3 linked regions of the Caenorhabditis elegans genome follow. The protein of the gene in region 2 interacts with the protein of the main gene of each other region in a pairwise test. Each region holds a gene or a part of one and is shown on either strand. Other genes may lie near its edges. The genes, in order: memi-3, atz-1 and skp-1.

Region 1 (3,605 bases), 970 kb from region 2:
GCTTTTGGCCGGAGTGACCATCGCCCAAGGAGGAGTTCTTCCAAACATCCAAGCCGTTCTTCTCCCAAAGAAGACTGGAGGAGATAAGGAGTAAGAACTTTCTTCTTTAAACAAACCCACCGAACCCAACGGCCCTCTTTAGGGCCACAAATATAAAAAATCCTAAAGATATTTCATATTACATTTATTTTGAATAATATGTTTGCTTGAATTCAATCAGTATTACTGTCAATAAGTTTTCACATGTTTTCGAGCCAAGATATCGGTCAGGAAACGACATTTAGAAATTGCAGAATTATGATCACTATGTAATGTGGCCAATTGCCTATCAAGCCTCAAGTATCGAAAAGTTGCATGTCGCAAGCTGGAATTGCCAGCGTTTTCAGAAATTTGCGTTCATTAATTCTAATTTCGAATTCATCTTTTTAGGCTGGAGGCATCTTCCATATCGTAAATCATTGTACCCGGCTGTATAAAAATTTTGATATCTGAAACCAGAAAATTATCAGCTTATCAGAAGAATTTAATTTGAAAAATTTTTCAGAGTCATGTTAAAAAGATTTTTTAAATCAACCAGTTCATGATTTGGTAAAGTTAATTCAAGCAATATACATGTTGAACATAAACAAAATATTCGAGGGTCATGGTGAGTTGGAGGAATGGAAAATAAAATAGGGGAAAGTTAGTTGATATATTTAACAGGAACCACTTAGTTATTCAGATAGATATATACAAAAACTTATGCACATTATAACTAATTATTGGACAAATGAATTCACTCTTCATCCAGTTCGAATGTTTCGAGGAACGAGATTAGGTCGTCGACAAGCACCATTCCATTTCTCAACGAGACCATATCGTTTTCGACCTCGAATTCATGAAATTCGACTGGCTCTTCGACAATCTGCACTCGTCGGTTCATGCACTTCACCGTTTGCTCCAATTCGATGTACTGAAAACGTTATAAATTGGAAACCGATAAATTATTGCTATTCAACTCACTCTATATCTCCGGAAAGGATCCCTGGCGCTCGAGTTGTTATTGTACACGATCCTCGTTTCCACGTGGCGCTTTCCTCGAATCGAACACGTGATTGATGCAGTCGAGGCCATCAGTCGGCCTTGTGAATCGAGTCCTGGCTCGAGATTTCCGTATTCCCGGCAGTTTGTTGTTCGCAGGCGACGAGTGGTAGTCTGAAATATGAAAAGTTATCGGTGTGAAATAGAAAACTATTTTACGTACACTCTTGCTCTGTGATCGGATCAATGTTGCCACCACAAAGCTGTCTGTCATCTGGAAGCCTTCGATTTCCATCTCCAGTTTTTCGAGAATTGCAAACAATTGCTGGAACGGCATTGCAGTCTTTGCCTGGATCGCAAATCGAACCACATTTTGACCCGTCTCTTTCGGCTCGGCCAGGAGGGAAGTCTGAAATAAAAAAATTTTTTTGGGAAAAATATACTCAAGAAACTAACTAGAATCAGACTGGAGATATCTTCGGCCGAAAGCATGCGGCACTGAGCGGCGAAATAGTGTGGTCGCTGGTTCGGATGAAGGAGCACGTGCTCGACAAGCGCTTTCTCCGATTCTCTGGTCGTGTTGAACCATCTTTGCGAGAAGAAGTCGTAGCGCTTGAGACGGAGATTTTCAATCGGCATTGTTTGAATGTCTCTTAGCACTTTGACAGCTTCATCGCGGATGATTGCCTTGCTCGGCTTCTTGTCGACGAGCTTTGGAGTTTCATCGATACGATGCAGGGAACGGTAGTTCTTATCCTCGACGAGCTCCACGTCTTCTCCATGCCCTTCGATAATTGCATCATGATTGATGTTGGGTTGTGGTGGGAGGGCTGAGCAACCGGCTCGAGCGGTTTCCAATTGATATTCATCGGTGTAGTTGGCCACGTATTTGGTCGCCGTCAATTCGCGAAGAACGGTACGGGACGGAGCTGACATTCTAAAAAACGTTGGTTTGAAAAATTAATGGAAAAATAAGAATTCGAAGCAAAAATTAAAGATAAAACTTTAAAAAAAACAATGTACTCAAGTGATTAACAGATTAATAATGCTTCACCGATAAAACAATATTTATGAAATTTCATTACGGCTCTCTGAACATCAGCAAAGTAGAAGAATGTTCACAATCAAAAATTTTCGTTGGGCCTAAAATAACACAATTGTTGCGCTGACTTTTCGCGGGGGAGATCGAATAGGTCAAATAGGCGATGCATTCATAAAAAGTACAATACTTATTGAAAAATAATTTTGGATTTGTTTTCTTTTTTTTTTGTTGAAAAATTAACGCGATTGAAAGTTTTTAATCATTAAATCAAGATTTAAATATCATGATATATCAGAAAACAACAAAAATCAGTTTTAGAATTTTTTTGAGCCTACCGTACTCTTTAAAGGCGCATGGCGATTTTCAGATGGGTCTCACTACGACATGCGTGAAATTTGAATGTTGATTCAAAAACTGTTCGTTTTTTTTCTTTTTTTAGAACCAAAGCTTAACAAACGCTTTTTCTCATGTTTTAAACGCGTTTTGCTCGTTTCTTCGCACAAATAAATTATTTCAGAAGGTTTTGCAATGGGGGTCATCATCCCCGCTGTACTTCTCGCTATGGCGACTGTGATCGCTTGGCTTCTCTACAAACATTTGAGAATGCGTCAAGTTTTGAAGGTCAGATTGCAAAATGCATTCAAAGATAACTCAAATAAATTTCCAGCACCTCAATCAGCCACGATCATATCCAATCGTTGGTCACGGACTCATCACCAAGCCCGATCCAGAGGGATTCATGAACCAAGTGATTGGAATGGGATATTTGTATCCAGATCCACGGATGTGTCTTCTCTGGATTGGCCCATTTCCATGTCTGATGCTCTACTCTGCCGATCTTGTTGAACCAATTTTCTCATCGACGAAACATCTGAACAAAGGGTTCGCATACGTTTTGCTCGAGCCATGGCTTGGAATCAGTATTTTGACGAGCCAAAAGGAACAATGGCGTCCAAAACGAAAACTATTGACACCAACATTCCATTATGATATTCTCAAGGATTTTTTGCCGATTTTTAACGAGCAATCAAAGATTTTGGTTCAGAAATTGTGTTGCCTCGGAGCAGAGTAAGAATTTTAATTGATAACTCGTTCAAATGTTTCTTTTCAGTGAAGAAGTTGATGTTCTCTCCGTTATAACCCTTTGCACTCTTGACATCATTTGCGAAACCTCTATGGGGAAAGCTATTGGTGCTCAACTCGCGGAGGTTGGGTAAACAACTCGAATCTCAAAATTTCTAAATACTTTTTCAGAATAACGAGTATGTATGGGCGGTGCACACAATCAATAAACTGATTTCAAAAAGAACAAATAATCCGTTGATGTGGAATTCATTTATTTATAATTTGTACGGTAGTTTTATCATTAATAAGGTGAATTAATTTGTAATTTTCAGAACAGAGGACGGACGGACTCATGAAAAATGTCTTCGTATTCTCCATGATTTCACAAAGAAAGTGATTGTCGAGAGAAAGGAAGCTCTACAGGAGAATGATTATAAGATGGAAGGTCGTCTCGCATTTTTGGATCTTCTTCTCGAAA
Region 2 (3,757 bases):
GAGGAAGAACGAAAGAAGATTCTCTACATTCGTCCGATGGCTGTTCAATATACGCCACGTCACAAGATGCGCAGCAAGAAGAGTGGTTGGAAGATGGAGGCTCGTAAGAATATTGTCAAGGATCAGATTCGAATGGAACGGAATATGGAGAAACATGCGGTGGAGAAGGAAGTTTTTGAAGCACCGGAAGTGGATGACGAGGCTCCGAAAAAGAAACACATTCTGGATCGTCTCAAATAGAAGGATAATCAATTTTATTTTTTGTTGTTGTTGATTTTGCGTTATTTTCGTTTTGTTTTTACTGAATTTTTGAAATTATTTCTTTAAAAGATTTGACATTTGGAAATTTATGAAACGAAGGAAAAAACAAACAGTAAAATAAAAAAGTAGAAACTAGTATGTATTTTATTCGTAATCTTCCTCTTCTCCCTCCTCATCATACTCTTCCTCATCCTCAAAGTCTTCTTCAACCTCGTAGTTCTCCTCCTCTTCATAATCTTCTTCCCCTTCCTCTTCTTTCATAAGATCGTCATTCTTCTTCTGAAGATCCGCAATGATCTTCTTCTGGGCTTCCAACTGCCCCGTCGTCTCGATCATCATCGCCTGGATCTTCAACGTGAGCGCCTCTTCGAATCGATGCTTGTCCTCCAGCTCTTCAAGCCGTTTCATATAGACTTCAGTGAGCTTGTTCGCATCGTCGACCTGTTTCGTGAGGCTCTCGATGGCCATCGTCTTTTTCTTGGATTCTCTAGCAGCACTGTCCAATGCATTAATCGTCAATCTCAAAACACCCTCTGGTGGAATACCAGTTTTCGCTGCTGGCATCAAATTTTTGATTCTGAAAAGTGTTACTTTTTGCATTTGTGCTTGTTATTATGGGGACGCAAAAAATGGTTTTTTGAAATCATCAAGGCACAAGCGCGCTCCAATGATGGGTCTCATTAGGTATTGGCAGGAAACTCGTAAATTCAAACGTTTTTGTTGTTATTATCGATTTTAATGTCGAAATGGTCTTTAAAGATGCATTTGAATAAGGGTTTCTCGTGTATTTTACATGATTTGTTTCGACATAGAAATAGTGGAAAAACTCTTGAAAAAATTTGAATTTCTGATTTTGCCTTCGCCAATACCTAACGAGACCCAACTTTAGAGGCGTTGCGTTTTAACTTGGGTAGGCTCCGAAACTCACCGTTTTTCATTCTCAGGATCTGTGCTCTCACCAAGGTTAGCCACAAGTAATTCGATTCTCAAGAATGTCTGATATGACCTGAAAAAATAATTCGATAAATTTTAGGAACTCAAATTCTTAAAAACTCACTCATCAATTTTCGCATCCCTTTTCTGCTGTGCTTCCCTCAAAAGTTTCTCCAATCGACCAATTTCCTCATTTGCTACTTGTTTTCCTTCTTTCGTCTCCTTTTCAAGATCCGAAATTCTTTCCGTGGCAACTCTCAATTTCTCACTCAAACATTCCACATATTCGACATTCGAATCAGTCTTCTTCGCATCGAAAAGCTCTTTTCGTTGCTCCAAAAACTTTTCAGTGAGCACTTTGAATTGCAAGTTCTTCGCGGCAAGCTCGGTTTGCACATTGCGGAGTTCGATCGAAGCCATTATTTGAATATTACAGACAGAAAAAGGGTGACAACCAGTCGATAGGGACCTGTGCGAGTGAAATGAGACAAGAAGAGGAGCACTGCTAATAGATGGTATCTACCGTAGCAGTTGACCTTTCCAAGAGGTAGACACGTCATCATTGTCTGACATACTATGTTTGCTCTCTCTCTCTCTCTCTATATGGTCTCGAAGGGAAGGAGATTAGGTCATAGGAGACGTTTATTGGAATGAAACACTTCATTAAAAAGGGTAATTAGTGAACTAGATGAGCTAAATGCATATTCAAATTTGTAAAAGGCCACCTAAAATGTTATGCATTGTCAAGAGAAATGGCAGTACTACCTAAACTGTGGCTGTGAAAATTATCTGGATTAATTTTTTGAAACCTAAAGAACGGTCATTGATAGTCAGAACTTTAGTTAATATATTTTTCTTGCATTTTTACATTTTTTGGGTAAAAAAAGGTGTCATGTTCAAAGTTTCCATTAGTTTTCAATATCTGAAGCTCTTTTTACCAAACGTTGAATCAAAAATAGGTGACAGACATTATTCCAATTTCAATTACCAACTTGTATTCTAGGCATTTTCTTTCTGCTACAAACTTTCTGCAACACTTTTTTTTGTGAATATTAACCAAAAAGTTGGCATGACAGACGCCGAATTAAATAGTTGATTGGTCAGATAACTGTATCTTTTTTCTCATGTTATCAGTGAAGCAAGAATCAAAAACTTTCAATAAACCGAAAATAGTTCATTCGAAAAAAAAATTATCTAGAAATTTCAGTTAAGTTTTTGGTAAAAAATTCAAAAATTCAACAAAATTGAACGGTATACGACGAAGGTTTCAAGCACACGAACATTGTTGAGTTGTCAAATGGATAAGTGTATGCACCTGGACATGCATTCTTGAACATCTTCGTTGTAGAGCTCATTGTGCATTTATCTGGAGAATCATACTCCCCACGGCAGCATTCCTTATCAGTTCCATATCCAAGACATCCAGATTTACACCCAACAGTGTAACCTGAACTACTCTTCACTGCAAGTTCTGTAGGGCATGCAGCATTTACATCAGAGATGCATCCACCGGCTCTTTGACATCCCAACCCATCAATTAACATTGGGAGATTGTAACCATCGATTAGATTAACTGCATAAAAGTCTCTTCCAGCCCAAGATTTCAAATTGAATTCTGCGACAGATGCGGGTGGAGTTCCTGTCCTTCCATTGCATTGTTCTGCGTTCTGGAAAAAGTGTAAAACTCTCAAACCTTTTTCATTTTTTTTCAAGACTTCGGGTATTCCCAATTTCGGATGTTTTGAAACTTATTCAGTATATGCGTGTGAATTCTGCGAAACGTTTGAAACTTCCTGTCAACATTTACTGTTGAGAAGCTTGCCCAAAGTTTGGCAGAAAGTAGCAAAAATTTGGCAAAAAGATTATATAGTTTCGACGACCGTAAAACGTGCCCAGAGTTTGACAGAAAAAAGACCAAAAATTTGCCCGAAAATGAAAATGTATTTTGGTAATAGATTTTGGAATATTCATCAAAAAAAAAATGATGTACGTCCTTGACAATTCACGACTTTCAGATATTCTAGAACATCTAAAGTACTTTTTCGTATTTCCCTTTTACACAATTTTTTGGCTGAACTTAAAAAATTGTTCAAAATGTTTTGATCAAATATCCCCAAGTGTTTATTTGTTTCAAAACTTCCATAGAAACTTATACTTTCAAAATGATACACTGTTAAAGTATAGATCTATAGACTTCAAAAAAGTTACATTCAAACTACGGAAAACTCACCAAACAAGTTCCAGTCTCACAATTGAAATCTCCATCACATCCAGTCCGTGCCCAAATCTTTCCATTTCTCCAATCATCATCCACATTTAAATACTTTGCCGCCCACGCATCTATTATTATAGACTACGATTGTCCGGCTGTTCACAGTGAGGAGCAGAGATATAAGTAGAATCCAGATGGAAATCATCTGAAATTTTAAATAATTGCTGATCGATTATGTTTATAAAAATTGTTTGCAAAAATATTCGTAAAAGACTACTGTAGTCAACTTCCCGTAATGTAAAGTGTCTTCCTTACATACTTTCCTTTCCGATAACAAAAGTTTGTCCAATT
Region 3 (3,757 bases), on a different chromosome or scaffold from region 2:
ATTCAAAAATAATCAAGTGTAAATCTGTAGAAGAATCTAAACTGTTCAAGTTAAAAATTGATTTTCGATTATTTTTGAGATTACTCATTAATTAGTAATCATAAATAATATTATTTACCGTATTTCCTCTATTAGTAAGGCATGCAAAACTAATTTTCGGACACCTAATTTGATGCAAAACTAATAGAAGGTGCTAAACTAATTTTCGAACAGGTTTTTTCTCATGTTTTCCATTAAGTTATGACATAATATCATCAATTTCAATAACAACTTATGAACCAAAATGGACGAATTTTACGACTGATACGCAAAAATTGTCCGAATTGTACTCATATTTTGCCAATTTTGACTTGTTATACCAAGTCTGTAAGAGTTTTCCTAATTTTTAGAACGATTTTATAATGCAAATTTTAAATTCCTAAAAATAGGGAACAAATGGAGGGGTGCAAAACTATTAGAGGTGCAAAACTAATAGAGCGTGCAAAACTAATTTTCGATTAGTGATTTTAGATGCAAAACTAATGGAGGTGCAAAACTAATAGAGGTGCCTAACTATTTAATAGAGGAAATACGGTAAATTTCAGTTTTAGCCAGTTGAGAGAGGTTGAGCCGCAGGCTCGATCGACACCGTCCGGTTAAAAAGTTAATAGAATCTTTTTCCATTGAATCAAAGTTATTGTTAATTTGTTTAGTTTTCAACAAACTCATTGAGTTTCCTGTCTTCTTGGAGGTTTTGGTACGCGCGCACGTGCGCTCTACTGACCAATGGCCGTGGCCTAGCTTTCTTGGTGGCTGTATATTTCAGCGCGAAATTCGTCAGTGCGACGCGAGCTACATTTATTGATTTTTCAACATTTTATTCGATAAATGTTTTCTGAGATTTGTTTTTCATTTATATTTAAATACACACTGAAAAAATAAAACCACGTGGCGTGGATGCGCGAATTTCATGAAATTAAACTTCATTTTCGAAATCTATTAAAATACGCCACGAAGTTTTATTATTTTCAATGTAAGTCTCGTTTTATCTTTTCCTTTTATCAATCGATTTCAACGCTTTCAACTTATTTTTTTGGAATTGTGGTTTTTAGTTCAAATCTTCTTAACTGTATTTCGAATTTTTAATCTCTACCTGTTCGAAATAGATTCCTCAAGATTAAGATACCTAGTTGTTTTTCATTGATTTCAGAAAATGGCACCCGGGACCAAAAAAAAGTCGGATATGGCAAAATTCACATTCTACAAAGATCGCTTGATGACATTCAAAAATTTCGAATATGATAGAGACCCGGATGCAAAATGCACGTCTCAAGCGGTTTGTCCATTTTCGTGTTTTAAATAAAATTATTCTTGTTTTAGGTTGCTCAAGCCGGATTTTACTGCACCGGTCCTCAGTCTGGCAAATGTGCATTTTGCAACAAGGAACTTGATTTTGACCCAGAAGACGATCCGTGGTACGAGCACACGAAACGTGATGAACCGTGCGAGTTTGTACGGATTGGAAAGCTCGATGACTCGGAATTAACTATTAACGATACCGTTCGTCTCTCACAAACCGCCATGATTATGACTAAACTCTTTGAGCATGAGATGATGATAAATAATTTGTCTAATCATTCTTCTTCTGATGCTCTCTTCGATCAGCTGAAAAAAGTACCGAACACAGCATCGACAACAAAATCTAACAGCCGCCGCGGCAAATAATTTTTCTACATCACTTACTGCAACTTATCCAATTATTGATTTGATCTCATATACTCGATTTAATCACTGTTCAATAAACACTTAATTCATTATTTTATTATTCATTCAATGTTTTTGTTTTGAAATTATAACTTGTGTTTCATCGGCACTACAATATCTTCCAGTTTTGTATTTGATTCTTTTTTTGTCTAAAAAAACAATTTCAGGACAGTATTTCATCAGGATGTCGATGAAACTACGAGAGTGAGTGTATTTCACTGATTATCATGTAAAACCAATGTTTTTTAGTATCCTTCCTGCTCCTGTGGCGGCAGACGAAGCAGCTTCACAGATTCGACGAGATCCTTGGTTTGGTGGGCGCGATAACGAACCATCCGCCGCACTCGTATCGAAGGAACCACCGCCGTACGGAAAACGGACCAGTTTTCGACCAAGAGGGCCTGAAGTGAGATTGAAAATATTAATATTCTTCTTAATTTTTCTTTTCCAGGATTTTGGCGATGGCGGAGCGTTCCCTGAAATTCACGTTGCTCAGTTTCCTCTCGGATTAGGTCTTGGAGATATGAGAGGAAAGCCAGAAAATACGCTCGCCTTGCAATATGGAACTGATGGAAAGTTACAACACGATGCTATTGCTCGTATCGGACATGTTAAGGATAAAGTTGTCTACTCCAAGCTTAATGATATGAAAGCCAAGACGTGGAACGAGGATGATGATGATATTCAGAAACCAGACGATGACGCTGTTATCGATGCTACGGAGAAGACAAGAATGGCTTTGGAAAAAATCGTAAATTCAAAAGTAGCCTCAGCACTTCCTGTTCGTCATGCCGACAAGTTAGCACCTGCTCAATATATCAGATACACTCCAAGTCAGCAGAATGGAGCTGCTGGATCACAACAGCGCATCATCAGAATGGTTGAAGAACAAAAAGATCCGATGGAACCACCAAAGTTCAAAATCAATCAGAAGATTCCTAGAGCACCACCATCTCCACCGGCACCAGTCATGCATTCTCCTCCAAGAAAAATGACAGCTAAAGATCAAAACGATTGGAAGATTCCACCATGTATTTCAAATTGGAAAAATCCAAAAGGATTCACAGTTGGGTTGGACAAACGATTGGCTGCTGATGGACGTGGTCTCCAACAGACTCATATTAATGAAAACTTTGCGAAGCTTGCTGATGCTTTGTACATTGCTGATAGAAAAGCTCGTGAAGAGGTTGAGACACGTGCTCAGCTTGAAAGACGCGTTGCTCAAAATAAGAAGTCTGAGCAAGAGGCTAAAATGGCAGAAGCCGCAGCAAAAGCCCGCCAGGAAAGATCAGCGATGCGGAGAAAGGACGATGAAGATGATGAACAAGTCAAAGTTCGCGAAGAAATTCGACGTGATCGTCTCGACGATATCAGGAAAGAAAGAAATATTGCTCGTTCACGACCAGATAAAGCTGACAAGCTTCGCAAAGAGCGTGAAAGAGATATTTCGGAGAAAATTGTGCTTGGTTTGCCGGACACGAATCAGAAACGAACTGGCGAACCACAGTTCGATCAAAGATTGTTTGATAAAACCCAGGTTTCAGTTCCTTCTTCGATAAAATTTAACTAATATATTTATTTTTCAGGGACTCGACAGTGGAGCAATGGACGATGATACTTACAATCCTTATGATGCTGCGTGGCGTGGCGGTGACAGTGTTCAACAGCACGTTTATCGACCGAGTTAGTTTTTCTTGCTTATTTTCAAATATAAATTAAAATTAGTAACGGGTCTAGGTATTTTGAATGTATATATATATATATACCCACAATGCTCTAAAATGAACGAATTTCATAATGAAACGTTCCAGAAGTTTTTCAAAAAAAAAGTTTTATGGCGTTTTAAAATTTCAAAAAAAAACATTATTTTAGCTGAAATCTTATTTTGGCAGTTTATCTTATGCTATTCTAAGGTACATTTAAAATCGAAAGGTTACCGAAATTGATTACCTATGTTTGCTTAAAAAGTACCTCAATTGACGATATTACGTGATATTAAAATTTAAAAAAAGAT

What was found.
Region 1: the proteins of atz-1 (region 2) and memi-3 interact in a two-hybrid assay, tested with the Caenorhabditis elegans proteins (2 studies listed by BioGRID).
Region 3: the proteins of atz-1 (region 2) and skp-1 interact in a two-hybrid assay, tested with the Caenorhabditis elegans proteins (2 studies listed by BioGRID).

The regions. Positions count from the first base shown.
Region 1 is NC_003282.8:11,401,382-11,404,986, forward strand, and holds memi-3 (MEiosis-to-MItosis transition associated), read right to left. Parts: upstream 1,958-3,605; 5' UTR 1,957-1,957; coding exon 1,477-1,956; intron 1,430-1,476; coding exon 1,244-1,429; intron 1,195-1,243; coding exon 1,003-1,194; intron 953-1,002; coding exon 776-952; 3' UTR 564-775; downstream 1-563. Other genes in the region: his-65 (Histone H2A), read left to right, coding at 1-94; cyp-31A2 (CYtochrome P450 family), read left to right, coding at 2,591-2,683, 2,730-3,130, 3,174-3,270, 3,317-3,411, 3,460-3,605.
Region 2 is NC_003282.8:12,374,440-12,378,196, forward strand, and holds atz-1 (Protein atz-1), read right to left. Parts: upstream 1,683-3,757; 5' UTR 1,615-1,682; coding exon 1,319-1,614; intron 1,268-1,318; coding exon 1,190-1,267; intron 839-1,189; coding exon 406-838; 3' UTR 242-405; downstream 1-241. Other genes in the region: wdr-46 (WD repeat-containing protein 46), read left to right, coding at 1-240. UniProt on the Caenorhabditis elegans protein: Plays a role in meiosis, germline development and oocyte morphogenesis. May play a role in DNA replication.
Region 3 is NC_003283.11:11,643,571-11,647,327, forward strand, and holds the start of skp-1 (mammalian SKIP (Ski interacting protein) homolog), read left to right. Parts: upstream 1-1,910; 5' UTR 1,911-1,927; coding exon 1,928-1,947; intron 1,948-1,992; coding exon 1,993-2,149; intron 2,150-2,194; coding exon 2,195-3,280; intron 3,281-3,329; coding exon 3,330-3,426; intron 3,427-3,757. Other genes in the region: Chromosomal passenger complex protein bir-1, read left to right, coding at 1,193-1,315, 1,360-1,704.